Macaca fascicularis: one gene and its partners. The protein of the gene in region 4 interacts with the protein of the main gene of each other region in a pairwise test. Links are inferred from orthologs where the notes say so. Each region holds a gene or a part of one and is shown on either strand. Other genes may lie near its edges.

Region 1 (8,212 bases), on a different chromosome or scaffold from region 4:
GTGTTACTTCAGGAAACTATTTTCGCTTGACAAATTTACCAGTGATTACCATTCATTTATGAAATCTGATAGTTCCTTTTTCTAAGTAATAGCAGTTTTATTTGAGCCATGCTCTGGTTCGGTCTCCCAGTCTGGAGTGCAGTGGAATGATGAAAGGTCACTGCAACCTCTGCTTGCCCAGCTCAGGCGATCCTGCCACCTCAGCCCTTTAAGAAGCTGGGTCCACAGGGGTGTGCCACAATGCCAGGCTAATTTTGATATCTTTTTCAGAGGTGGGGTTTCCCTGTTTTGCCCCGGCTGGTCTTCACCTACTAGGATCAAGCGATTTGCTTTCTTTGGCCTCCCAAAGGAGGATGGGTCATGAATACAGGATCATGCCCAGCGTTTTATTAAAACAACAACAACAACGACAATAAAGAGTTTATGTATTTGGAGTTATCAGTGTTACCTAATGGCTTGTGAATTTTTGTCTAATAAGTTCTTATCTACTTGATGATTTCCAAAAAAAGAAAGGAAAAAGGGAATCTCACATCTTTTTCCTTATTTATGATTACAACTAGGGTGTTATTTTAAAAACGATCAGTGAACAACCAAAAGATAATTGTTCCGAATGTGTTCATATCTTCTGAATTCTGAGGTGTCCTCCAGGCTGGGAGGTAGTGGTTGGGTGTGGGAGGTAAAATCACAGGTCCAGCACGTGACACCTACAGAATTCAAAGGCTCAACTTTGCACCAAGCTAAAGGTTCTGGTGTCCATTGGAAGTTTCATTCCCCAACCCGCATTGACTTTGCATTGGTCCTCCTCCCTCCAGATTTTAACTGCAAGGCAAGTCCTGAGTTCATCGTGGGGAGAATCTTTTCTTGTAGTCTCGAATTGCCTTGGCCATCAGCGGGGCCACTTTCTTGGCAGCCTGTTTCCGGGTTTTGGCCGCGAGCATCGCGCGCTCATTGCTGCTGCTTAGGCAGGGGTTGGCCCTCTTCTCAGGGAGCTGGTGAAGGACATTGCTGCTGCTGCTGTCTCTGCCACCACTGTCACTGCCCCTGCTGGAGGGAACGTGGCTGCTTACCGCAGGCTTTGGGGCTAGCTTGAGCTCTCCATTTTCAGGTTCAGCAGCTCCTGCAGACTTATCTTGCCTCCTTGAAGCATCATAAGGCGTCTTGGCCACAGAGTTGAAATAGATCATCTTTGCCTCTCTGCTGTTGGGGTTGTTTTCACGTGCAGATCGGATATTTGCTGTCAGTACTCTTAGTCGCTGCTCTCGGGTGTCCTGAACCCGCAGGCACAGCTCCCGCCAAGACTCTTGCTCCTGTGGCTTTCCTTCCTTGAAGTCCTGGAGACAATGAATCCTCCATAATTCATCTGTGTCCCCAGCGAGTGCGTGATTGTATTTCTCTCTGCGATACAGCTGATCAGGTGTCCACCCTTCCAGAACGGGTTCAAGATACGAGTAGGGGATCCCTTCCACATCGCTGAGGGTGTCGGGATTGTTTCTAAGGACCCGGATGCACTGCTGGCGCAGCGTCAGCACCTGGGGCTGGCAGGCAGGCCTGGAGCCCGAGTACACCTGCATCTTAGCATTCACTCTGCCTCCAGTGAAAGCAGTTTCCTCCTGGAAGGTTGGTGCAGTGAGTGCTTCTGGCTTTGCCTGGGAGGTCATGGAGTCAGAATCCAATAGCGAATGGTAGTTGGCCTGCATCCAGGCCTCTGAGGGGTCCCAGAGCTCTGAGAAGGCATGGCTGGGCACCGTTTTCAGCCCTGCAGAATCAGCACCGGCTGCCTGCAGCCTCTCTGACTGGCTTTCCTCGAAAGGAAGCAATTTCTTAGCTGAATCCCAGGACACACGAGTGCCCTTTGAATCGTTTGCTTTCCTTTGTTTATCTCCAAGTGCAGTGGTGGAAGATTCCCCAGTCTTTTTCCTTTGCTTCTGCAACTGGTCGTAAGTGTGGTATTTTTCAAATGACAGAGTGGGCTGCTCGAATTCCTCAGCCATATCTACCTCCTCCACCTCAGAGAGGGAGCTCATGGACCTTCTGCCCACATGAGCCGTTGGTGGCTTCCCCTCTTGAGTCTTTTGGTCATTGGAAAGCTGCTCTTTCTCCTCAGAGGACAGGCGGTGTGTCCCATTTCCTGGGTACGGGCCATCTAGACTGGGCATCTTCTTGTTCAAGTGTCTGTGATGAGGCCTATTTGGGTGACCGTCTGGAGCCACCACCAAGGCGGGGACATGCTGGCTGCTGCCAGCTCGTCCCCCTTCCTTGTCCTTCTTGGCGTCACCCGAGGACGGCCTGTCCCTGGCACTTTCCCGGAAGGGCATCCTTGGGGTTTCCTCTCTTAAGCGGGCCCAGGATGATTTCTCCCTGATCAAAGTAGGGGAGTGCCAATCGCCCTGGGCACACAAGGGACATTTTTCCTGGTGGAACGATTTGTGTCCCTTGCTGTGGCTTACAAGCGCTTCCCCCTGGGGTTGGCCCTGGCAGCCCTGACCCAGCAGAGGCCCGCCCTGAGCGGCGTGAGCATGGCCTCTTCCGGGTTGCTTCCCGGGCACAGCCGGCTCAGGGCCCTCGGGCGTCGGGAGGGGAGCGGTGTGCAATGGAGGGGCCCGATGGGGGCCTGAATCAGCTGGGGCCCTTCTGGGACGCTTTCTCTGGGCTCTGTGCTCGCGACTGGGAGACCTTCGGTGAGGTCTCTGGAGCCCCGGAGGTGTTCTGTGTGCTGTCCGTCTGTGCTCAGGACTGTCAGGTGGGCTCCTGGGGACCGTCCCGTTCTCTGGGAAGCCCCAGGCCTTTTCCTGGTCCTGAAGAGCCTCCCCATAGCGCTTTCGGGAAGCGCTCTCCTCGGGGTCCTGTGCATCAGGCCCGGTGTTTGGGTCCACAAGCACCAGCTTCTTCCACCGGGCCGCTAAGTCTCTGGCAAAGTCGCCCACGTGCTGGTGCTTCCGCAGGCGCTTCACCGTCTTTCTGATTCCAGTCTCCGCCAGGATGTCTGCCGTCATGGGCAAGGCGGAGAGTTTCTGCAAATATTTCTCTAGCTTTTTCGGGTCCGTCTTAGTGGTCAGATACACCTGCAGCTTCTCCACTGCGTGCAGCGTAATGGATCCTGCTGCCATCTCAGCAGAGCTGTGCAGGCGTCACTGTCCTGGAGGTCTCGGCTCTTTCCTCCGGGCGGCGGGACACGAAGCCAGGCAGCGACCTCGGGATGTGGAGTCACAGCCTGGAGCGAGCTCGGTCCTCGAAGCAGCGGACCACTGGTTCCGGGGCGCTGGTCCTTGCAGACCGTAGGCCTCATGACGTGGAGTCACCACCGCCTGGAGCAAGCTCAGTCCTCAGTGCAGCGGGCCACTTGGTCTGGAACGCCGGTCCTTGCAGACCGCTGAGCAAGTCTGCTTCTAGTCCTCGGGATGTGGAGCCATAGCTGGAGTGACCTCTGCGGTTTGCAGTCCTACACGGAATGCAGCTCTGGTGCCAGAGCTGGGCCTTATATGGCCCACGGCAGGCCCACACTCACGGCTCTAGCCCTAACCCTCTTAGCTCCTGGGCTGCCCCGCCCCAGTACGTACTCATGCCGTCAGCACAATGCAGACAATCGGGACGGTCCACGCCAGGTGGACTGCTGTGCCCCAGAGGTTGATTAGGTGAATTTCAGCCTCGACACACCCCACTGAGTTCTACCGTTGGCCTTCCATTATATCAGTTTCCGTATCTGTGGATTCAAAAAAAACGCAGACTGAGTCTTCTTGGGAGTAAAACAGAAAATAACACAGCAAGATAAAATCACAGAAAGAAGAACCAATACAGGATAACAACTCTTTACCTAGGACTGATGTTTTGTGAGGGGACTTTCAAACATTTGTCAAAACTGGGATTAAAAGACCAAAATAAAACCGTTTGATTTTATTTCTTAACATCTGCTCCATCAATTTCAAGACAGTTTTCAAGCACTGTCTTGCCCCAACCTTGTCCCTCAAGCCCTGATGGTTCTGGGAACTTAACAATTTCCATGAAATCTTTTTTTCCATTATTAACTGAAGAAAACTGGGTGCCGTTTGCAGAATTTTTAATACTAGGAAAGAAATAGAAGTCAGCAGGTTCCACATCATGACTGTAAGGTGGACGCCTCATGATTTCCCATTGAAACTTTTGCCAAACTGCCCTTTGTTCAGTGAAATGCAACAGCAAGAACTTTTTCATGATTAGGTAGAACTCTCTGATAATGGTTTTTCTGCTCATGCTTTGGCTAATTTTCTCAAAAATTCTGTTAGTAAGCCCATTTAATGATGGTTTGGCCCTTCAAAAAGTCATTTAGTCGTATCTTTTGAGCATTCCCCAAAACTGTTACCATGACCTCTTCCCTTGACTGGTCCTCTCTGTCTTTGACTGGAGTGCTGCCACCTTTTGGTAGCCATTGTTTTGTGCTCTTTCTTCAGGATCATCCAGTGTAGCCATGTTTTATCCCCTCTTACAAATCTTGGAATAAATATTTCTGGATCTTCTTCCACCTGTTTTAAAACTTTAAAGAAATTTTTACTCTTGTCTCTAGCTATTATTGTTGAAACAGATTTGGTATCTGGATCGGACTTTCGTTTTTCAGTGACAATTATTAAAACAGGATCATTTGAAATATAGTATCTATGTTTTTTTCTCTTCTGTTGTTACTTATTTGTCCTCTCAAATTAGGGAACACTTGGTCCTATGTTTCTGAGCATAGTTGACCAATTCTGACATTGTATGAAATTCAGCAAATGTCTTTTCTGGATCTGTAGACACTTCTTTTGAGATTTCTAGTATTTTGTTGGATTGTACAGCATTTGAAATTTAGGAAGTTTCCTGGCAGAGCCAGGAGATAATCAGGAAACAAACAAAAAACAAATTAGAACGTACAGGTATATATAGTCAAGCTTTTAGGTGAATATTAGATGCAGAGACTGTAAAAGAGAAGTATAGAAAAAACATTTAAAATAAGAGAATAAGAGATGTGTCCTTTTTAACTGTTTGTTTTTGAGATGGAAAGCTTAATGCAAAATTTGGATCTTATTACTGAAATTGAAATGAGCTCATGCAAATTAATCTCCATAGCACCCGTAAAAAGGAAATTAAAAGCACTAATGTTGCATGTGGTGTATATACAGTAACATTTCCTAAATATCTTCTCAGTCTAAAACTGGGAATGATATTCAATGCTTCCTTTTCCTCAGGCTATGGTATCATAGGATTCAATTTTGAATTTGATAATGGAGGTATATTTGTGGCACAATAGCCCACAAAGGAAATGAAAGAAGAAGAAAACCGCCAGATTATTGAAACATACAAATGAGACACCTAGATTAGATGTTCACTTCTGGGCCTTCTTTCTTTGTACACAGAAATTAATGGGCATGTACTTGTGTCCATTTCAGGGGCATACCATCTCTTACAGTTTAAATAGAACTTTTTTGGGGGGAGTGGCTCATTCTTAGTTTTTTTTAATTCAGAAGATAATTTTCTATGTTAATTTGAATGGCCTGGGCAGAAAGATGTAGATCTGGCCAACTTTATACCTTTAATTAAGAAATTTGTAAGACTGCATTTTGTGTTTTCAGTAACAGAAGCTCATCTTAAATATTTAACACTACATTTTGAATAGTGTTTTTAAAACTCTCTTTCCCTATTTTACTTGTACTGAATTCTGAATTTTTATCAATCTTATCTCAAAATAAAAATCATATTATTATTTTAAGACCTGGTCACCACAAGTAAAAGCTGCTTCACAGTCCACATAGTAGGAAAGCCTTTTTTTTTTTTTTTTTTTTTTTAATTGGAGATGGGAGTCTCCCTGTGTTGCCCAGGCTGCTCTCATCCTGGGCTCAAGTGATCCTCCCACCTTGGCCTCCCAAATTGCTGGGATTACAGGAGTGAGTCATGGTGCCCGACCATGGAAAGCCATTTTTGATGCAGCCTCATTACCAGACAGGGTTCTAAAGGACTCAAGTCAATCCCCATTATAGAGATAGACTGTTTTGCAAACTGAGATTCTAATAAAAAAAGAAAGTGGAAATTATTTTGATTGGAGTTGAAGTAGCTACCATTTTGCAGAAATGTAATCAAAACCCTAAGCAAGCCTCTCTGATAGGCTATTCTTTCAAAAGTATGATCAACATTGCTCAGATTTGTTTAGGATTAAGAATTAGACTTCTGTCTCAAGAATTAGAGCTTTTGCTTTCTTGTTTATCCTGATCAACTGTGTTAATTAGGTCAGTGGGTTACTGTTTAAATGATTCTCCAGGGATTCTAAAAAGGAGTTTGAAGGAAATAATTCTGACAAATGTTCCAACTTGCTTTTATTAGGGTTGCTATGAAACTCACTATCCTATCCATGGGTAGTAGAAAATAAACTGTATTTTTCTGTGTCTGTGTATGTGCATGTATGTGCACACATGGAGTATTTCTATAATACAGTGTAATTGATCCTCTAGAGTATAAACTGCTGAGTGATATCGCTGGGCCAACAGGTATGTGCATTTTTCTTTTTGATAGATTTTGTCAATTTGCTCTGCAAACGGGTTGTACCAAGTTACATTCCCACCAATTGTATCTGAAATACAATATTCTTTCAATACCTTACCAAATCTGGATGTAAAAATGTAAAAAAATAGCTGCACTTTAAAAAATTTGAGATTCTTATTGAAAGAAGCTTATTTTTGTACCAATAAGCTGAAGAAGTATGGACAATACTTAAGGTGGTTTCTTCAACTTTTATATGCATTGCAAATTATTATAAAACCCAAAAGAAAAATGGTAAAGAGAAATGTCTGCTGTAAATGAACATGTGAAGATTCTGAACACAGAAATGCCTGTGTTACTCTTCTGTTCAGTAAGTCTACTCCTGTAGTCACACTGGTGCAGCAAGGTTGGGTAGTAATAAGGTGTCATTGCTACTCTCCAAAGCAGAAACAGGCTCTGTCTGGGGGCTGGCAAAGCAGGCCCTCACAGTGCTATGTGTGATAACCAGTTCTTTTACCCCATCATTTCCATCTTGAATAGCTTCAAAATATTGCCTAGAAAGATTTATATTTTCAGTTAGACTATTTATTTTATATATCAAGGCACAATTTTATGTAGATTATTTATATTTATTTAAGACTTCTTTTATCTGCCCCCTCCCACCTTTTGCATTTTAAAACATCTTTATTCATATATCGTACAACTCACCATTTAACATGTACAATTCCATGACTTTCAGGATATTCACAGAGACATACTTCCATTGCCTTGATCAATTTTAGAACGTTTTCATTAGCCCAAAGAGAAATTCTGTACCCTTTACCTGCCATCCCCTCCACCCCCAGCCCCCTGCAGTTCTCCCATCCTCCCAGTCCTCTCCTCCCCACTTTTAAACGTCTCTTCCGGGATCTTTTTTTCTGTTCCTCTAATAAATCTACTGAGTTTTCCCTAATGAGTTTTTCATCCCACTAATGAGGGCCTTCCTCTGGGTATATGCGTGTCTGTGCACACATGGAGTATTTCTACAGTATAGTGTAATTGACCCTCCTCATCTTTAAGAAATTCAGCCAAACCCAGTGCAGTGGATCCAGTACTGAGGAGCACACAGAGGACACTAGCTACTTTTTCTCAGTGACCTAGTCATAGAAAATATTTGCACAAGTACATGTTTCAATTAGGAAGAAGCAAATGCTTCTAGAGTGAAGGATAGAGAGACTCTGAAATGCATGAGCAAAGCAACTAACAGCTGTTGGGCACCCAGCAATTACTATCCCTAAAATTGACTTAGCACCCCCACAGTTTTCAAAGCGCTTCCCAGGCTTTATTTCGTGTGATGTACAGGACACTGCATTAGAACCTCTAATATGGAGGGATATGGACCTTGTTAGAAATGGGACCAGTCAGTGTCCAATACAGTCTCTAGGAAAATGTAGATTACTTTCATGGCTCTTTAAGCCAATTTCCATCTTTGCATTCTCAAAGACTTTTACATGCATATAAAATAGATTAGCTTTATTTAGCTTTATTGCAACTATTCAGCAATTAAAAGACATAATCTCTTGTAAGACATACTACTCCTGGTGCAGCAGGGTGACTAACCTTTTGAAGGAGGTCTAGCCAGTAACAGCTTTGAAATGGTCACTAATATTGTGGGAAATTAAGCTTGAGAAATTGTAAAAGACATCATTCATTTGTTACTGAGTTAGGTCAACTAGGAAAGAATGGCTGGTAGCCA
Region 2 (4,295 bases), on a different chromosome or scaffold from region 4:
CAGTTCAAGACCAGCCTGGCCAACATGGTGAATCCCGTCTCTACTAAAAATAAAAAGATTAGCCGGGCATGGTGGTGGGCACCTGTAATCCCAGCTACTTGGGAAGCTGAGGCAGGAGAATCGCTTGAACTTGGGAGGCGGAGGTGGCAGTAAGCTGAGATCGCGCCATTGCACTCCAGCCTGGGCAACAGGGTAAGACTCTGTCTCAAAAAAAAAAAAAAAAAAAAAAAATTATAGAGTACAGTGAAAACTACATTTCTCCTGGTATAATGTAAATCAGCACAGTTTTTCTGGATGATAACTATCAAAAATCTTTAAAATGTTCAGCCTTTTTAACTCAGGTATATAGGTTTTGGTGCGAATCTGTACTTAAGAAATAATTATAAAAGTCGATTTTTTTAAGTTGGGCACAAAGATGATTGCTTCAGTTATTTACGATAGGAAGAAACTAGAAACAGTTTAAATGCAAAGCAGTAAGGGAATGCAATCAATGAGTAGTTTCTTAGGTACTTCTGTATAGTTAGCACTTAGCACAGGGTATCTGGGCCACACTAAGATATAATAATAACAGCTGATATTTATGTGCTAGGCACAGTTTTAAGCATTTTAATGTTCACAACAACCCAATAAAGTATTGTACTATTACTCATATTTACACAGATGAGGGAATGGATTCCAGAACTTGTACTACTCTTTTTTTTTTTTTTTTTTTTGAGACGGAGTCTCACGCTGTCACCCAGGCTGGAGTGCAGTGGCCGGATCTCAGCTCACTGCAAGCTCCGCCTCCCGGGTTCACGCCATTCTCCTGCCTCAGCCTCCCGAGTAGCTGGGACTACAGGCGTCAGCCACCTCGCCCGGCTAGTTTTTTGTATTTTTTTTTTTTAGTAGAGACGGGGTTTCACCATGTTAACCAGGATGGTCTCGATCTCCTGACCTCGTGATCCGCCCGTCTCGGCCTCCCAAAGTGCTGGGATTACAGGCTTGAGCCACCACGCCCGGCCCAGAACTTGTACTACTCTTAACCATTATATTGGGTATTCAACAAATGTTTCTGGAATAAATTGCTGATTATGTTTATGAATGTTAATGAAAACACATAAAATTCAAAATTTATATTTAGTTATGCCTTGATACAAACTATATACATAACTTGCTCTCAATTATAGGAGAGTAGCTCAAAAATTCATAAGAAAAAATGTTAACCATGTTTTCTTCCCCCTGCTTTTAACTTCTCATACATTCCAAAATCTCTGCAATGAATATGAATTACTTTACAACAAGAAAATGAAGTGCTTGTAATAAACACACCCAGTAGGCAATGCTGAGTGGCACCTTTGACATTGGCTGTCACTACTTTAGGCAAAAGGATGTCTATCAAATATTGATCCTGTTGCTCAACTTTACCGTTAAGAGCTGTGGTCAACAGCATCACATCCTCAAATGTACCACTTAGGAGGATAATTTTCCTTATCTCAATGTTTTTGAGCTACTTTCTCATGCATTTTAGTGAAAAGAAAACCTAGTAAGTAGTGTGGTCCCACTTGATCCAGAACCACGAAAACGGCACCAGGATCACAGTGGGAAGCTCTCACTTTACCCACTTCAAATGGAGACAGGATGCTCTAAGTGGGAAAAGTAAAACATGAACTTGGAGGAACAAGAGGACTACGGATACTTGAAACAGGAACCTCGGAGAAAAGAAATAGGAGACACTGGTGTACAGCAGTTTAGGCCAAAGGTTAGTATTACAAAACCAAACAAAGATGACACCCGAAAAGTTTTAAGTGTGTGTGTACTTAGACCCTTTAGAAACAGAGGGGCAGTAGGGACCTGAAGGGAGAAGGAGACAGCAAAGGGACTGTGGGGATACTTCAGTTAGAGAAATAGGAAACAAGATACTAGGTCGAAATGGTTCATTCGGGGGAGTGTGCTAAAGGCAGCTAGGACAACAAAAATCTGCTGTACAGTTTTAAAAATCAGGAGTCGATATTCTAGGTCATCCCGGCCCTGTTTACACACGTAGACACAAACACTGGTTTCTAGCGGGATCAATCAGTCATATATTGGAGGCGCTAAAATCAGTCAGGTGGGATATAAATGGAATAGGTCAGAGGGGAGGGCTTAGAAAGGGGAGGACTTAGAAGAAGGAGTCCCCAGGCCCAGTGGAACCCAGATATAGATGCAACCCCAGATATGGGGATGGAGGGGATGGGAGGGGAGTGGTTCCCAGCCTGGAGAGAAGGTTCAGTCATTGGGCCTGGAGTCGGAAGTGTCAGGGTAGCGGGGGCAGGTATCTGGGGGTAATCCCAAGGAACTGAGGGTTGTGGAGGCTGCTCTGGCTTCCCAGCGAGAAGCCGAATCACAGGGGTCGCTGTCACCCGTGATCGCGGCACGTTCCCGGCTTGGGCTCCCGTACCCTCCAAGGTGACAGTGTCTAGCTCTCGCTGGGAGTGCTCAGCTGCTGCCGCCGCCGTCTTGCCGTCTGCCTCCCCCGTTGACCCGCCACCCGTCGCCGCCTCCTCTTTCATCTCCACATCCTGGGGGGCCGGGGGCAGTGGGGGTTCTTGTTCTCCGCCGCCGGGCGGCGGTTTCGCCTTGTCCGCGCCGCGGCGCCGCGCCGAGCCCTCCTGCTTCATGGCACCCGGGGTCACGGCCTAGTCCGGGGACCGAGGCCGGGGCCTCGCGTGAACCGTAGCACCGGGGACCAGGAGCCGAGCCGGGCCTACACACCAGCGCGGGCTACCGTCGGGCCGCACGATGACGGAGCAGCTGCAAACCCCTTCCCGGCGCTGGGCCTTCTGGGAAAGCCCAGGCACGGCAGGCCGATGGCCGAGTCAACAAAGGGGAAATAAATCAACAGCCGAGGTGCAGGATGAAGGAGGAGCTTCAAGGAAGGAGCTGGGAGGAGCCTGTATGGGTTCCTGGTGCTTTCTTTCTAGCGCTGAAGTGTGATGCTTTTATGTTCCTCTCGAGTGCATTTCTGTGGGCGTCCACGAGAGGTCCCCTCAGGCTCCAATCTGGGTTACAAAGGACTTTAAGAGCATCTCAACCAGCGTGGAGTGAGTACAGTCCATCCGAGCGCGGGGCGAGATAACGTCAAGAGTTGCCGGGCGGGTTTTGCGCCCAAGTTCGCTCCCTTTTCCCCGATGGGGGGGTCTCCTTCCAAATCCGCGGGGCTTGGGCTCAACGGCTGCTGGGCGCATCCGGCAGGAGGGAAGGAAAGAAGGCTGCGAAGGAGGGACGTGAAGCTAGGGCTGTTGGGCTTAAAATAAACCGAACTGGAGAGTAGCAAGAATCCTATGGGATCCGGACTTCCTTGATTAGATTTTAGTTTAGTGCTGAAGATAAGGCATACAATTCTCTGCAGGGTGAGCGTGCATTTGCGTAGAATCACTCCAGTTTAACAAAATGTAGGGGCCCACCCTATGTACGGCCCAGGGCTAGCAAATAGGGGGGTGAAAAACAGCTCAAGAATGTAGTATACGGGAGAGTCAGATGGTTAGATAACCAGACACAGTGCTCTGGGCTGCGGTGGATTGGGAGTGTTGAGGAAAGAGGGTGGGAGCCACTACTGGCAGACGCTTTAGGGAGCCCGTTGAGAGGGCTTTTATACATCCAGACAGACATTGTGAAATGGCGAACAGAATAATAGTGTGCCTAAGGAGAGAATGATGGTTTACCTAGTGCTGTGCCTAAGGGGAAGCCAATTGGACAAGAAACTCTACCCACTTATTTTTCAAAGGACTCCCCCATTGATTCTGCAGGGAAGGTGAAACAAGGTGAAGGATATAGTTCCCAATTTCTTAGAACACAAAACAAAAACTCTCTCCCTACCTTGAAACTTTTCTCTCTCCCATAAGTGAAAGTCCTGAGCTTTAGACCTTTCACAGACCCTGCAAGAAAATTTAGCCCTGTTGTAAGGACCTAGAAGGCAGGAAATACGTTTTGACCTCCTCCTCCTTTACATATATAAAGGGTATCCTACATATCTTTTGCATCCTCTTTCGTAGGATTGCAGGATGTTCCTTGCATTAAACAGCCACTTGCTAACTGGAAAGATATGTGCTCTAGTTTTAGGGAACATGCCTTGACCAGTTCCTCCTCAACTGTCCTCTCACCCTCCAGGGCTGGGGGATGGATAACAGGATTTTTGAATCATCATTGGAATAAACTCATTAGAACCTCTTCATAACACCGTATCTGCAACTGAAGGTGGGCGAGAATGGTAAGGAAGAAAACAGATGAGTTATGTTCATCCTTAACAATCAAAGGAGTTACTCTTCTGGTTAGTTAGG
Region 3 (7,668 bases), on a different chromosome or scaffold from region 4:
TACACCCAGTGCTCTGTCATTCCTGGTGACTATGATGACTTGGGCCCCCTGGCCCCCAAATAATTAAAATGTGACAGCACCACAAATAGGTACAAGCACCAGCCTTCTTGCACCTCTTCCCCCTCTTTTTGCTTGAGTCCTTGCCTGGCAGGGTGATGAACCTGCTCCTGAGAATTCTATCTGCTGGCGGGGCTGTGGGTTGGAGGGTGGCAGGGGACTCACTTGAGAAGAAACATCCAGCTCAGACAGACAGTAAGACAGACTGGCTGAGCATGGGTGCGGCTCTGCAGCTTGGGAAACTCCTGCAGCTGGACTCCCTCTGCACCTGTACTCCCTCTGCACCTGGACTCCCTCTGCACCTGGACTCCCGCTGCGCCTGGACTCCCTCTGCACCTGGACTCGCTCTGCGCCTGGACTCCCTCTGCGCCTGGACTCCCTCTGCACCTGGACTCGCTCTGCGCCTGGACTCGCTCTGCGCCTGGACTCCCGCTGCGCCTGGACTCCCGCTGCGCCTGGACTCCCTCTGCGCCTGTACTCGCTCTGCGCCTGGACTCCCTCTGAGCCTGGACTCGCTCTGCACCTGGACTCGCTCTGCGCCTGGACTCCCGCTGCGCCTGGACTCCCTCTGCACCTGGACTCCCTCTGCACCTGGCTGGAATGCTGTCCCTTCCTCTTGGGCTGTTGACTTATTTATGACTGTCCTTCCCCACCTGATTTAGTTCTCCTTATCCAGGAGACCTTCACCAGCTGTCCTAACTCTAAGGCTCCTACAACCGTACACAGCGGATCGTATTTGCTGCTTTGCACTGCCAGCTACTGCATGGACTTTTCCTGTCTCTGTAATTAGATGACAAGTTTCTGTGGGTCAAAGAGGCTGTTTCCTACCCCAGTCCCCCCTCACCCCCATGCCTGGCACAGTGTTCTTAGGAGGAGGAGAGGGAGGGGGTCTATAATGATAATAGTTGAGGATGATGAGGATGGTGGTGATTTGTTCCATGCTCTTTGGTTGATCTGCCCTTTTCAGAAGCCAGGCTGGGGAAGTGGTGATGGGACAAGGGCAGGACAGCCACGGGGTTCTCGGATATGGAAAGGTGCATCCAGGTGAGAAGTGTGCTTGGGCACAGACTGCTTATCCCAGGCATGAGGCTTCCAGTCATGCCTAGAGCCAAAGACACCAGATGGTGGACTCTGGCAAGGAGCAAAGGAGGCTCCTAGAAGGGCTGAGCTGAGCTCTGCTTCCTGCAGCCCCTGGCCCTCACGCCCTTCCCTGGGTGGCAGCCTCACTCTGAGGAGGGCTGAGCTGCTTTTCTCTACCTGCCCAGTTACCATAATGAAACCACAGCCTAAGGAGACCACAGGGAAGAGCTGCACCAGATGTAAACTTCAGAGTGATTTATGGGGTGGAGCGCTCGGGCCCGGGGCTGCGGCACAGCTGCTGTTCTGATCCACCCGGTCTGCCGCCCTGTCTGCCTGCTAGCCAGCCGGCTACTTATGTTCTTCTTAGGGATGACATTTCAGGAAAGCAAAGGTGGGGGAGGCCCTGGGCCATTGGGCTGGACTGGTCAAAGTCAGCACAAGCTATGAGAATGGGGTGTCCCCCAGACTCTTCCTGGGGTGTAAGCAGAGCCCACCAAGCTTTCTCACTTCGAACAAATCAAGATTTACACCCTTTGCACGCCAGAGCAGGGCTGATTTTCCCAGCCCCTCTCTTCACAGGCTCAACACAGAGATATTGAGTATTGACTATCTGAGCGGGAGTCTGCAGACAGAGTGGGGTCGCCCCTCCTCAGAGATACAGCGCAGGAAATATCCAGGTTGCTGCTCAACCTGTTAGCACTCCAGACAGCAGATGCAAGGCCACTGGAGCTTGGAGGGAACGCCCCCACTGAGCTCTTAGCTGCCTGGGGGTGGGGGGGTGGCTTAGAGAGAGGATACTAGCTATACCTGCAGGACGCAGCTGTACAGTTTCCTCAACTCGGGACTGGAGCGAAGGGCTATGCCAGACCGAAGGGCTCCAGATGTGCCCTCTCCAGTTCTCTGTGCCAAACCTGTGCTCTCTTCTCTTAAAAGCCAACTTGAGCCCCAGCTCCTTGAAACCTTCCCTGGTTAATTCCAGCTGATTGCAAACAGCCCAGCACCCACCTCCTGTGTAGGGGTTAGTCAGGTCTCCTTTTGGGCTGGCCTCCCCCATCTCCCATACATGACTGGGAAAACAATGCCCAAGCGAAGGGACTCTGCTCTGTGTCGTCATTTGTGCTGTTCATTAGGTATGTCCAGCTCTCCTTCTGGGCACTCGGTAGGATTAATTTGCCCCTTCTCCCTCGATATTAGGAGTTACCATGTGTCTTGTTCTAATGGGAGTGGAAGTGACATGTGTCACTTCTGCGTGGAAGCTTTAATAAACAGTGCATGATTTGCCACTTCCTCTTCCTCCTGATGTTTAACTGTGGGGGCCCGTGTCTAAATGCAGCGTCTGTTGGCTTGGGTCCCCAGGTAACAAGGTGGAGTAGAGTCCCCAGCCCAGATGCAAAGCACACAAAACATGAACAAGGCATAAACTTTGGTTGTCTAAAGCCACAAAATCCTCAGATCGTTTGCTGCTGCAGCATAGCCTGGTTCAGCCTAATTGATATGGCCTGTTTCGATTGCCTATGCCAGGTTTCTGTATCTATATCAGTACTCTCTATATCAGTACTCTCAGTAGAAAGAACCATCCCAGAACATGCAACCAGAAGCCACAGATAAAAAATCCCTCCCCTTCCTAGCTACATGGGGACTCTGCTGTCTGCCATTCCAACCTGGGGCAGAGTGCAAGGGTAGGCTGGGCCACTGGGCAGTTTCCAGAGTCCCTCTTCCTATCCCAAAAGGAAAAGGCCCATTTGTCTCTAGGAAATGAGGGGTTGGGGACATGTCCAACCCAACCCAGAACCACAAATCCTCAAAAAGCCAAGGAACAGGGCTGTACTCACACTTGTGGCATATTGGATGTCCTTCCAGATGGAGGTTTCCCGAGACAGATCAGAGGCCTCAAAGAGGTTGTCCATGATGACCTCACCAATCATGTCATGGCGGGAGAAGCGGTCGAAGTCGAAGACGCTGAGATGCAGCTTGCGATCAGCCAGCTCCTCATAGGGCACAGGGAAGTGGAAGTTCTCATCAAAGGTGGGGTTCAGGGTCTTGCGGTGCACCCGGGTCTGCAGCTTGCATTTGCGGTCAGGCAGGAGGTAGATCTTGACATAAGGGTCAGAGCTTCCACAAAAGTCCTTGGCAGGGAGGTCAAAAGCCTTCAGGATACGCACAATCAGGGTCTCCGTCTCGTAATCATAACGTAGGCTGAAGTTGATCTTCCCGCAGCTTTTGGTGGCCTCAGACTTGGCATCGTCCCCATCCACCGACTTCTGCTTGTAGAGCTCAGGCTTGATGCGGCCAATGCTGGTGGGCTGCTCTGCTGCTGGTGGAAGCTCGTTGCCATAGTCTACACTGGAGACGTGCATCTGCCTTGGCAGGTGGCGCTTGAAGGACGTGTGCCTGGTAGAGGGCAGGAGGGGGCAGAGGGAGTGTGGTCAGGGCTCAGGGGAAGGGGGATGAAGGCAGACACGAGCCTGGAAGCCCTGGCTCATTGTATCCCTTGTTGAGCCCCCTCTTCCTTCCTCTTCTTGACCCCACTTTTCCTCTGCACACACTTGGTGTACAAGGTTGTGGTGAGCATTACATGTCTTAATATATGTAAAGTAGTTGGAATGGCGCCTGATATATAGTAAGCTCAATAAATGTTAGCCATTGCTATCATAATCACTTTTTCCTGCTTTTCTGTTACCTGCTTTTTAGGTTTACTTCCTAGTAGACAAAACTCTGGTTTCCTTATTAAATCATGAGATCCCTTAAGAGAAGGACCATCCCTTCTTATCATCAGTGTGGCACCCCCTTCATCACCGTCATCAGCATCTCCATTTGTTGGGCATTTGCTATACAGCAGGCAGCGGAGTGGTAAAAGCATGGGCTTTGGAGTTAGACTGCATAGGTCAGTCTTGGCTCTGTCACTTTCCAGTTGAGATCTTGGGAAAGTTATTTAACCTCTCTGTGCCATAAAAACGAGGATAATAAAAGTAACAACCACATAGGATTGCTGTGAGAGTAAAATGAATTGATTACATATGAAGTGCTTAGAACAGAGCCAAGCATAATCATAAGCAATATATGTGTTAGCTCTCCTTATCGATTACATTCATTCTTCCATTGGCTCCTCACAACTGCCATATAAGTCATCAGCCTTATTTTACAGTTGGAAAAAGCGAGGCTAAGGGAAGGTGAGGAACTTGCCCAAGGCCATATGACAAACTGTCAGTGTGACCCCTAGCATGTTCATTCCTGGCCTCCAGTCTGAAGATCAGGACTCATTCTCTTTGGTTGGTCCCCTGAGGGCCTGGAGAGCCATTGCAGGGACCTAGGAATCCATCAGAGCCCTAAGTTTTGAGTAAATACAATGCCTTACACATGCTTGCGCCACATCTTTTAAAAGTATTTCTGAATTTGGGGTAGGTTTTTGTCGTTACGTTTTTCTTGTTGCTATTTTCAGTTAAAGGATGCTGTATGTATTTACAATTGTTGTCATACAGGGAACTCTGAAAGGCTTTAAAGGAATCCTCATTCTCAAACTATTAAGACTCTCTTGCCTTATCTGCCACGCACTGCAGACTGTAGCTATCGGGCTTTACAGACATATCCCTAAACACACCATGAACTCTTACCTCTCCAGGCCTTTGCCGTTCTCTTCCTTCTGCCTGAAGCCTTTCCTTCCAAACATCCGACACTCCCCAATTCCACTATTCCATTCCCCTCATATCCACACATACCCCAAGTGCACACCACATGTACAGCAACCAGCCTCAAAGGTTTCCCTTTCGTGAAGTCTTTCCTCCTCGTTGATCACCCATCATGGATCACATCTTCTGACATATTTCTCCATCAAAGGATATGTGTTATTATTTCTGATCTCTGATCCTCACAGGCTGGAATCCCATAGATGTATTAAGGGAGTGTGGAGGTGTGGGATCAGGGAAGGGAGCGGTCCACTCCTCACCTGGTGGATGAGGCTGGCTCTGTAGTTTGCCGCTGCAGCCGCGTGTGACGCATGATGTGCTCCTTGACCGACATCTGCACCTCAGCTGGGATATCTGGGGATGTGTGGCTGATCTTCACGGCCGCCTCCAGGAAGCCCAGGGTGCTGGGGTCCTTCAGCTTGTCCGCCATGTTGCCTCTGAAGCTGGGGCTCTGGAGGGCTTCCAAGGGGGGATTAGCAGAAGAGGGACTGGAGGCCTCCTTGTTCCTCCAGGGCATCCAGCACAGCTTCCAAAAGAGAAAGAGAAAAACTGCCACCAGGGCCACGCCACACACAATAACTACAACTGCGAGGAGGCTGACAGAGGTGCCTGCCCTCGGCATGAGCCAGGCAGGGAGGGACAGACAGACAGAGGCGGGGAGAAGCGGGTGAGGGTGTTGGAGGAGGGGGCACACAGAAGGGACAAAGACGGAAGAAGAGAGAAGAATGGTCATGAGAAAGCTGCCAGGTCAGAGGGAGAGGTGGTTTCAGGGTTGACTCTTGATTGTCCACTTCGTGGAATATCTGCAGCCTTGTGTTCACCTCAATCTGATTCTTCCAGCATCATCCTCTTTCCCGCCCCCACCCCCTCCCCCCAGCCAGCTTGGGGAGCACCTGGGCTGTCTTCTCTACTGCCTATTGGCGTGTGCACAGGGAAAGGAAAGTAATTTAAATAGTAGCCTAAGCAAATGTGCAAATTCGTGAAGCATGCATGTTCAGACGCTGTTTGAATTTCTATTAAAGCTGCTACTATGGCCAGACTTACGAGTCATTTTTGTCTACAGCCTACTTCCTTAACAGGCTGTGATACCTTGGGGGGCAGACACTGGCTAACTCATCCTCTTTTCTTCTTTATCCCATCCCCACTGAGCCCAAGACAGGAACTCAATAAACATTGAGTTGACTTCAAGTGAATGAGAGTCAGCATAGTCTCTTTGAGGGCAAGCATTATGTTCTTCTGTACTCCCAGAAGTCTGTGCATAGTAGGTTCAATAAATACTTCTATTAAGTTGGAATCTGATCTACACAGAGCACGTGAAAGTTAAATACAGGCACAGTTCATTTTACTATGCTTCACTTTATTGTGCTTCACAGATACTGTGTTTTTTACGAACTGAAGCTTTGTGGCAACCCTGCCTTGAACAAGTCTTTTGGTGCCAGTTTTCCAACAGCATGTGCACATTTTGTGTCTGTGTGTCACTTTTCGGTAATTCTCACATTATTTCAAACTTTTAAATTACTATTACAGTTGTTATGGTGATCTATGATCTGTGATCAGTGATCTTGGATATTCCTATTGTCATTGTTTTGAGGCGTCCTGAGCTGTACCCACGTAAGATGGCCAACCTAATTGGTAAATATTGTGTGTGTTCTGACTGCTCCCCTGGCTGGCCATTCCTCTCCTTGGGCCTCTCTATTTGCTGAGACACAGCAATATTGAAATTAGGCCAATTAATAACCTTACTTTGACTTGTAAGTGTTCAGGTCAAAGAAAGTGTCACATGACTCTCATTTTAAATCAAAAGCTAGAAATAATTAAACTTAGTAAGGATGGCATATCAAAAGCCAAGACAGACCAAAAGTGAGGCATTTTGTGCCCCACAGCCAAGTTGTGAATGCAAAGAAAAAGTTCTTAAAGGTAATCAGAAGTGCTATTCCAGTAAACACACAAATGATAAGAAAGCAAAACAGTCTTATTGCTGATGTGGAGAAAGCTTTAGTGGTCTGGACAGAAGATCAAACCAGCCCCAACATTCCCTTAAGCCAAAGCCTAATCCAGAGCAAGACAGTACCTTTCTTTCATTCTATGAAGACTGAAAGAGGAGAGGAAGCTGCAGAAGAAAAGTTTTATTCTAGCAGAGGTTGGTTCTTGAGGTTTAAGGAAAGAAGTCCTCTCCATAATGTAAAAGTTCAAAGAAGCAGCAGCAAGTGCTGATGTAAAAACTGCAGTAAGTGATTCAAAAGATCTAGCTAAGATAATTGATGAAGGTGACTACACTGAAAAACAGATTTTCAGTGTATAAGAAATAGCCTTATATTGGAAGAAGATGCTATCTAGGACTTGCACAGCTAGAAGGGGGAAGTCAATGCCTGGCTTCAAAGTTTCAAAGGACAGACTGACTCTCTTTTTAGGGGCTAACATAGCTGATGACTTTAAGATGAAAACAATGCTTATTTATCATTCCAAAAATCCTACAGTCCTTAAGAATTATGCTCAGTCTACTCTGCCTATGCTCTAAAAATGGAACAACAAAACCTGGATAATAGCACATCTGTTTAAGAATGGTTTACTGGATATTTTAAGCCCACTGTTGAGACTTACTGCTCAGAAGAAATGATTCCTTTCAAAATATTACTGCTCATTGACTATGCGCCTAGTCACCCAAGGGCTCCGATGGAGGTGTGCAAGGAGATTAATGTTGTTTTCATGCTGGCTAACACAACATCCATTCTGCAGCCCATGGATCAAGGAGTAACTTCAACTTTCAAATCTTAGGCTTCAGCTGTCATAGATAGTGATTCCTCTGATGGATCTGGGCAAAGTAAATTGAAAACCGTCTGAATCGGAT
Region 4 (8,210 bases):
TTTAGAGTTCACAGAGCGCACTATGTAAACCTACATTGTGCAACACTCCCGTATCATTGCATCCTTTTGAAAGATGAGTAAACCGAAGCTCAAATTAAAAGACCTGCCCATGGTTACACACCTCAGAAATGGCATGTCAGGATTCAAACAGCAGCAAAACTCCAAATCTAACATTTTTCTAAGTTAAAAAAAAAATCACTTGGCAGAAAAATTTATCTGACATTAAATGTTCTATCAGTGCAAAGTATGTCATTGGTGGGCCTTAGAATGCGTAATATCTCTTCAGAAGAGAAGAAAGAATCTTCTGGTCTAGAGGAATTAAATATCTTAACAAAATACATTATTAGTTTTGCTAAAAGAGAAATGATTACAGTAAGTAATTTTTAACAATGGTATTATGAGCAAGTTTATAGCTTACCTAATGCAAAGCTGTATTCCTGGGATAAAGTTTCTTATGCCATGGCCATCAAAAAGCAATATGAATAGAATGAGGAAGAAGAACCCATTTCAGTTTTGCTTCAAATTAAAATCACATTGACTTCTGGAAGGAAGAGTAACAGTGAAAATGTAAAAAAGATGCTATGTACATGTATATTTGCTAATAAACACTGGAGATGTACATTAGTGGCAGAAAGAAAAGTAATAAAGACTGGCATTTTTGGTTATATTAAATTCATTCTGCAACTTTGTAGCTCCTGCCTTTGCATTTTTTTTAAAAAATAAACTTATTTTGTAATAATTTTAAATTTTCAAAACAATTGAAAAGACAGTGCATAATTCCCGTATACCTCTCATCCATTACTGTGGCATATTTATTAAAATTAGAAAACCAACATGATCAATGACTATGTAATTTTGCAGAATTAACATATCCTTTGGAAGAGCGCTATTGGTCTCCTGACCATTGTCAATCAGTATTCTTCTATTTTTTTCCTAATTAGAACACTTTGGCCAAATAACTTAGTAAAATCTATTTTAAGATGTGTTTTAAAAAAACAAGCCACCTGCTTTATGAAGTTTGATTCATGACTCCCTTCAATTTTAAGCCACGGCTGAATGTTTTACTTAAAAATTTCCAGGACAAACATTCCATTATAGCAAATTCTCTGAGATTCAAAAGAGAAGGTAATGTTCTAGAAACTAACCCTCCATTCATCAGTCATCCTTCCATCAAATTTCAATAAAGCCAAGGAAATGTTTTTAACTGTGCCCTCATGTGCATTAGAATTCAGGATAAGAAGTTGAAATCAAGAAAGCAGAAGGCAGAAACAGCACTCATTTCACAAAATTAACAACGTATCGACAAATTTTAAAAAATCTTATGTCCTCAATATGTTACAAGTAAGACAAAAGCCCCTATTCTAACTGCAAATATAAACAGAGTGAAAAGGAAAAGTTCAGGTCCAGCACAGTGGCTTACACCTGTAATCCCGACACTTTGGCAGGCCAAGGCAGGTGGATCATTTGAAGTCAGGAGTTTGAGACCAGCCTGGCCAACATGGTGAAATCCTGTCTCTACTAAAAATACAAAAATTAGCTGTGTATGGTGGCAGGCGCCTGTAATCCCAGCTACTTGGGAGGCTGAGGCAGGAGAATCGCTTGAACCTGGGAGGTGGAGGTTGCAGTGAGCAGAGACTGCACCACTGCACTCTAGCCTGGGTGACAAGGCGAGACTCCATCACAAAAAAAAAAAGAAAAAGAAAAAAGAAATGGAAAAGTTCACGAAAATGATACTATTCAATTAATTTTCAGACATGCATTTTTTCACATTTTAAAATTCCTGAAATCAGCATGTGATCACCAGGTGGCAGTTTTAATAGTTGTCACAGCCTGAGGCAATGACAGCGAACTGCTGAGGTCCTCATCAATGTTCTTGATGACACAAAGGATGACACGCTAGAAAAAATATGGACACACTCTGAACTGAAAAGTATAAAGAGTAGAACCTGGAATGTTAACTTTAATGAATACTTTAACCAATTTATTCTTATTTTTCCTTTGTATATACATGCATTAGCATAGGCATTGATACCATTTTTTAGTGTCTAAGTTTAAAAGTGTTTTCAATAATAAAAAGTCTAAACGATAAGAGCGCATTAAGCCATAGTTTAATTAGCAGGGTTTCTCTCTTCCTTAGTGGTACATGAAATAATCAACAGCATCTAGCATTCAATGAAATAAACTAGTAATTCAGTTGCGATATCTTATTAGAAAGTTTAATAAACTACCTTAAAGGCAAAGAGCTTAAATAAGAGATTTTAAAAAACAAAAAACCCACAAAGGCATCCCCCATAAGAAAACTCAAGAAATAACACATAATTTTGCATTATAATAAAAGGGCTATTTTTCAACCTTATGAGTTTTCTTCCTGTGAAGAGTATAATTATCAAGTATCCTACTTATGAGCAGATTCTTGCACTGATTCCAAGAAAGGCAGAGGGAAGAGAGCCAGGGCAGAAAGTAAGTAGAAAGCTTGAGGAAGATTTTAACCATATCCATTTAACTAAACTTTTCTAAGAACCTCAGCTGTACCCACTGCTGTAAAGAGAGTAGGAATCAATAAACCCAGGTTCAACTAAATGTTCCTAACAACTACAGAATGAATTTTGAAAAATTACACGTAAAAGGAGCTTATTGGGCCGGGCGCGGTGGCTCAAGCCTGTAATCCCAGCACTTTGGGAGGCCGAGACGGGCGGATCACGAGGTCAGGAGATCGAGACCATCCTGGCTAACACGGTGAAACCCCGTCTCTACTAAAAAATACAAAAAACTAGCCAGGCGAGGTGGTGGGCGCCTGTAGTCCCAGCTACTCGGGAGGCTGAGGCAGGAGAATGGTGTAAACCCGGGAGGCGGAGCTTGCAGTGAGCTGAGATCCGGCCACTGCACTCCAGCCTGGGTGACAGAGCAAGACTCCGTCTCAAAAAAAAAAAAAAAAAAAAGGAGCTTATTGGTTTCAGGAGTCTCCAATGAATACTGTTTTTGTTTTTTTTGTATTGTATAAAATATACATAAAACTTTAAGACTTAACAATTTTAAGCATTCTTAAGAGTCCAATTCAGTGAAGTACATTCACAATATTGTGCAATCATCACAACCCATTTTCAGACTTTATTCATCATCCCCCAAAACTCTGTTCTGTATCCATTAAGCACTAACTCCTCTCTCCAGCCCCTGGTAAACTATTCTACTTTCCGTCTCTTAATTGGTTTATTCTAGGTACTTCATTTAAGTGCTCTCAAACAATATTTGTCCTTTTGTGTACGGTTTATTTCTCCCGTGGTACTTTTGTAAAGCAAATAATAAATCCCCGATTATTAGGTTTCTTACAATTTAACCGAAAATGCTGACACAGTCTCTGAACTAAGCATGCAGCTCTCCCAGAAACTCTGCTACTGTTCCAGTAGCCCCAAAGATCTCAGTCTGATCCTTCTTTAGCCTGTAGACAGGCCAGTTAAACAGCTGTAACTCAAAGAGCAGGCTCCAGAGATCCCTGGAGACCATCCCGTGGTTAAGTGGATGGAGTGAAGGGATTTGGGAAGCTGTGCAGGCCTGAAAAACCACAGGCGAGAAAAGGCTAGGACTCATCAAGCTGCTCTGGCCCCAAAATGGGCCTCCTGTCTCCCTGACAGACTCTCCTGCACTCTGACACTTATGTTGGGCGGCACCTGTCAGAGCTGAGGCCAAACTGCGGTCGAATCACTGAGAGTGTCACCAGTGCAGGGAGCTTCACGGGGTCATGAGTCACCTTCCATGGCTCAGAGGTCTGGGCAGCCCTGCCCTACCCAGACAAACTCAGCTAGGAAACAGAAACAAGAGGAAAAAAAAAAGTTGGAAGAAAGAGAGAAAAACAGACAGATGGCCAAAAAGCTAGACTGACAGGCCCTGAATTAGAGTAAGGGCTGAGTGGCAGAGACAGGGTGAACAGACACAGAAGCAAGGTGGAGACAGATATGAAACAGGATCCATATACCCCGAGAAAGACAAAGTGGAGAGAAATATCAGGTTGACAGGGACCTAGCTGAAAGACAAAAAGGACAGGTTACAACAGGTGACAGAGACAGCAACCGGGGTGAAACAGAAGGGAAAAGAAGATCAGAGAAGTCCAGGCGCAGTCTTTCTGCCAGCTCGGCTCTTCAGGCTTCACGCATTGGTGGCTCGAACCCGAGGCCGTCAAGCCGCGCCCACCCTACGCCCCGAAAGGCCAGCGGACGGACGGGGGCAGGATCTCTAAGCGCTGTGGCCGGCGGAGCTCCGCTGCCGCGAGGGTGACCTTGGGCGAGAAGCTGCCCCAAAGGCCTTGGTATCGCGGTCTGCGCGCCGTGTGGGCAGGAGACTGCGGGATTCGGAGCTGGGGCGCCGGGACCCCAACCTTCCGCGCGGGGCTTTAGCATGCCGGTCCACGGAATGGGCCTGGCGGGGCAAGCGGCGCGTGCGTCGGGGCCTGCAGAGGAGCCCTTAACTCCCCCACCAACTTCTCCTCCCTTAGCCTTGCCGCCCGTGGTCCTGGCCACTCAGTACCTGCCAAGGGCTCAGCGCTCACATCCCCCGTCCAAGGGATCCTCTCCGCCGCCGGCGCAGGCCTGTTCTAGCCTTCGCTGCCGCAACAGATTCAGCCTGTGCCTCAGCCCCCGGAAACGCTTCCCGGTCCCGCCCCCCGAAATTGACAGTGCTTCCGGGGGTGCGCCAGAGAGAAAGAGGAGTGCGCATGCGGGATTCACTGTCTGAGCTGGGCGTCCGGAGAGAGCGCATAGGTAGCGGGCGCCTGCGCAGTACAGTCTGGAGCGGGTCAATCAATTTTAGGGACTGACTAAGCTGTTGAAAATAGGGGAGCAGATACCGAGTTCTAAACCTTCTTGAAACCTTGACATAGGCCAGGCGCGGTAGCCCACGCCTGTAATCCCAGCACTTTGGGAGGCCGAGGCGGGAAGATCGCTTGAGGCTGGAGTTCGAAACCATCCCGGCCAACATGGTGAAATCCTGTCTCTACAAAACATGCAAAAATTGCTGAGTGTGGTTACTGGCGCCTGTAGTCCCAGCTATTTGGGAAGCTGAGACAGGAGAATTGTCTGAACCCGGGAGGCAGAGGTTGCAGTGAGGCGAGATCATGCCACTGCACTCCTGCCTGGGCACAGAGCAAGACTCTTAACAACAACAACAAAACAAAAACACCTTGACCTTCTCCGTCTCTTCTCTAAACAAACAAACGAAAACCTTGACCTCAGTTTGCCTGGCGGAGATTATCTCCAAATCCATTTCTGCCTCCACAGCACCCATCCAGCTTTTTGGCATGTAGTAGATGTTCAGTAAACGTTCAATGAAAGGACCAGTGCCTTTCCGTGGGCTGCGTTGTGCTGGGCACTGGGGTCACACAGATGGTGGGACAGAAACGATCTCTCTAGCTTCCAGTTCTCCCACTCCTTCCCCAAACCCTCCATCCTTCTCACCCCTTTCTTCCCCCTTGCCCCACCACGTTAGTGTAGAAGAGAGATAGGTCTTATAGCAGTGGGACTCTTACCTTTGGACCCGTTTATAGACCAAGTGCCCTCTTTGTGGAAGAGCTAATTTATACCTGAAATCCAGGCAGCTGAAGAGATGTGGTCATAATGCCTTCTGGATTTAGGGTGGATGTTCTCCTGGGCTAGACATGCCCTTTTGATATTGTCTGTCTTAGTTTAAGCTGATTGGCTTCCCAGCTATTATGCCTGTCTTGCTTGTTGTTGGGCCCTAGGACACAGGAGTGTAGCTTTTCTAGAGAGAATTCTACCAAAAAAAAAAAAAAAAAAAAAAAGAAAAGAAAAAAGAAAAGAAAAGAAAAAATTTCTAGAAAGCGAAATGAAAGAAAACAAATATGGAAGCACAGAAATGGGAATGGATGCAGAACAGCTTGTCAAAGATTCTACTTAAAACATGTATGCTCCAGCCCCCCCGCCTTTTTTTTTTTTTTTGAGACAAAGTCTTGCTCTGTTGCCCAGGCTGGAGTGCGGTGGCGCAATCTCGGCTCACTGCAACCTCCGCCTCCCAGGTTCAAACAATTCTCCTGCCTCAGCCTCCCGAGTAGCTGAGACTACAGGTGCCCGCCACCACGCCCGGCTAATTTTTGTATTTTTAGTAGAGACAGGGTTTCACCATCTTGGCCAGGCTGGTCTCAAACTCCTGACCTCATGATCCACCCACCTTGGCCTCCCAAAGTGCTGGGATTACAGGCATGAGCAACTGCGCCTAGCCTAGTTGAGTATACTCTTTAAGTGTTTTGCCACTTTTATTCCTGCCTCTAAGCAGACCTGAAGTTTGGAAGTTCAACTGCCATCATGTGCCTATGAAGTGGTAAGTAAATGCTAAGGCTGGCAAAGCAGGAAGATTGAGAGAACCTAGGTCCCATATGACATTAGGCCACAGTGCCAGCTTTGGACACCCTTAAGTGTTTTGTTGCATGAGACAAATAAACTTCTTACTTGGACTTTATTTCTGGCAATATTGAGGACTATATATTTCCAAATATTACTGCAACAAAATAGATAAAATTGCTAGAAGAAATATTTAGAATACCCTCTTAAACGCATGGATACACTTGCAAAAAAAAAAGTCAGGAAAATTATCTGAAGCTAGGAGGAAAACAAGAACACAGGCCTGGGAAGTCAAACAATTGATGTTCAGAAATTACGCAGAGGTAAAGTCTGCATCTGTTCTGATCCATTGGTGCATGCCCTGTACTGACAAATATTTTCAAAATTATCTCTGGAGATAGGTAAACACCGATACTGCTACCAACTATAGGAGCATTCACCTGGGTCCAGACAGGATTAAAGCCAAATTGCAACATCAGGTTGGGACTCAAGAAGAAATATGTCCTCAGGTGAAGGATAAACTACAGGGGAAAAAATCTGCCATACAGAGGTAGGCAGCAGTTAAAAGCTGTCTCTCTGTGCCTTGGTTCTGAGCAGAAGGGGAAATCATTCCCCTGGAGGATTCATGGCTAAAACAGTCTGACTATCACATGGCCACACAATTTGCATAGTTCAAAAGCCCACAATCTGAACATTTTAATTTGAAATGAACCTGGGGAGGTGGTGCCTACAGTATTTGGCCAAAACACAAATCTCTGAAAGAACTTGCTGGCAACCCAGGCTTCAAAGAATTCCCACAGATAGGGTTCTAAATAAATATGAACTCACAACCGGAAACCACAAACCCCCTAAGGAAATAAGCAGAGAAGACAAGCAGTAGAGGTGGATCCACACCAGCTTTAGATATTTGATATTTTAGAACCACAATATAAAACAAGCATGCTTAGAAAAACAAAGGGGCTAAAAGCACAAGTATCAAGAAACTCTTGAAAAATTGCCAGGCAGCTGGGCATGGCAGCTCATGCCTATAATCCCAGCACTTTGGGAGGCTGAGGCGGGCAGATCACCTGAGGTCAGGAGTTCAAGGCCAGCCTGGCCAACATGGCGAAACCCCATCTCTACTGAAAATACAAAAAAAAAAAAAAAAAAAAAAAAAAAAAAAAGAAAGAAAGAAAAAAAATGGCCGGGTGTAGTGGCTCGTGCCTGTAATCCCAGCACTTTGGGAGGCTGAGGTGGGCCGATCACCTGAGGTCAGGAGTTCGAGACCAGCCTGGTCAACATGATGAAACCCTGTCTCTACTAAAAATACAAAAATTAGCTGGGTGTAGTGGTGCGTGCCTGTAATCCCAGCTACCCAGGAGGCTGAAGTAGAAGAATCTCTGGAACCTGGGGCGGGGGCAGAGGCTGCAGCAAGCTGAGATTGTGCCACTGAACTCCAGTCTGGCGACAGAGCAAGACTCCATCTCAAAACAAAACAAAACAAAAACAAAAAAATTAGCCAAGCGTGGTGGTGGGCGACTGTAATCCCAGCAACTTGGGAGGATGAAGTGGAAACATGAGATTAAAAAAAAAAAAAAAATCTAGTTATACACTACTTAAAACACAAACCTAAAGAAAATTTGAGGTCAGGCATGGTGGCTCCCACCTGTAATCCTAGTACTTTGTGTCATGCGCATCTGTGTGAAGAGACCACCAAACAGGCTTTGTATGAGCAAGAAAGCTTTTTAATCACCTGGGTGCAGGCGGGCTGAGTCCGAAAAGAGAGTCAGCAAGGGAGGTAAGGGTGGGGCTGTTTTATAGGATTTGGGTAGGTAAAAGAAAATTCCAGTCAAAGGGGGTTTGTTCTCTGGCGGGCAGGAGTGGGGG

Evidence for each region.
Region 1: the proteins of ZBTB43 (region 4) and ELOA2 interact in a two-hybrid assay, tested with the Homo sapiens proteins (2 studies listed by BioGRID and IntAct). The two-hybrid records come from large-scale screens. The link is inferred for Macaca fascicularis from reciprocal best matches to the Homo sapiens genes ZBTB43 and ELOA2.
Region 2: the proteins of ZBTB43 (region 4) and PSMD3 interact in binary tests that used the Homo sapiens proteins (3 or more experiments, as listed by UniProt). The two-hybrid records come from large-scale screens. The link is inferred for Macaca fascicularis from reciprocal best matches to the Homo sapiens genes ZBTB43 and PSMD3.
Region 3: the proteins of ZBTB43 (region 4) and SYT6 interact in binary tests that used the Homo sapiens proteins (3 or more experiments, as listed by UniProt). The two-hybrid records come from large-scale screens. The link is inferred for Macaca fascicularis from reciprocal best matches to the Homo sapiens genes ZBTB43 and SYT6.

Annotation. Positions count from the first base shown.
Region 1 is NC_088392.1:42,771,082-42,779,293, reverse strand, and holds ELOA2 (elongin-A2), read right to left. Parts: upstream 5,278-8,212; 5' UTR 3,108-5,277; coding exon 840-3,107; 3' UTR 148-839; downstream 1-147. UniProt on the Homo sapiens protein: SIII, also known as elongin, is a general transcription elongation factor that increases the RNA polymerase II transcription elongation past template-encoded arresting sites.
Region 2 is NC_088390.1:61,043,362-61,047,656, reverse strand, and holds the start of PSMD3 (26S proteasome non-ATPase regulatory subunit 3), read right to left. Parts: upstream 2,801-4,295; 5' UTR 2,637-2,800; coding exon 2,417-2,636; intron 1-2,416.
Region 3 is NC_088375.1:120,217,759-120,225,426, reverse strand, and holds part of SYT6 (synaptotagmin-6), read right to left. Parts: intron 5,430-7,668; coding exon 5,081-5,429; intron 3,529-5,080; coding exon 2,970-3,528; intron 1-2,969.
Region 4 is NC_088389.1:17,204,384-17,212,593, forward strand, and holds the start of ZBTB43 (zinc finger and BTB domain-containing protein 43), read right to left. Parts: upstream 4,644-8,210; 5' UTR 4,519-4,643; intron 542-4,518; exon of another isoform or gene 419-541; intron 1-418. UniProt on the Homo sapiens protein: May be involved in transcriptional regulation.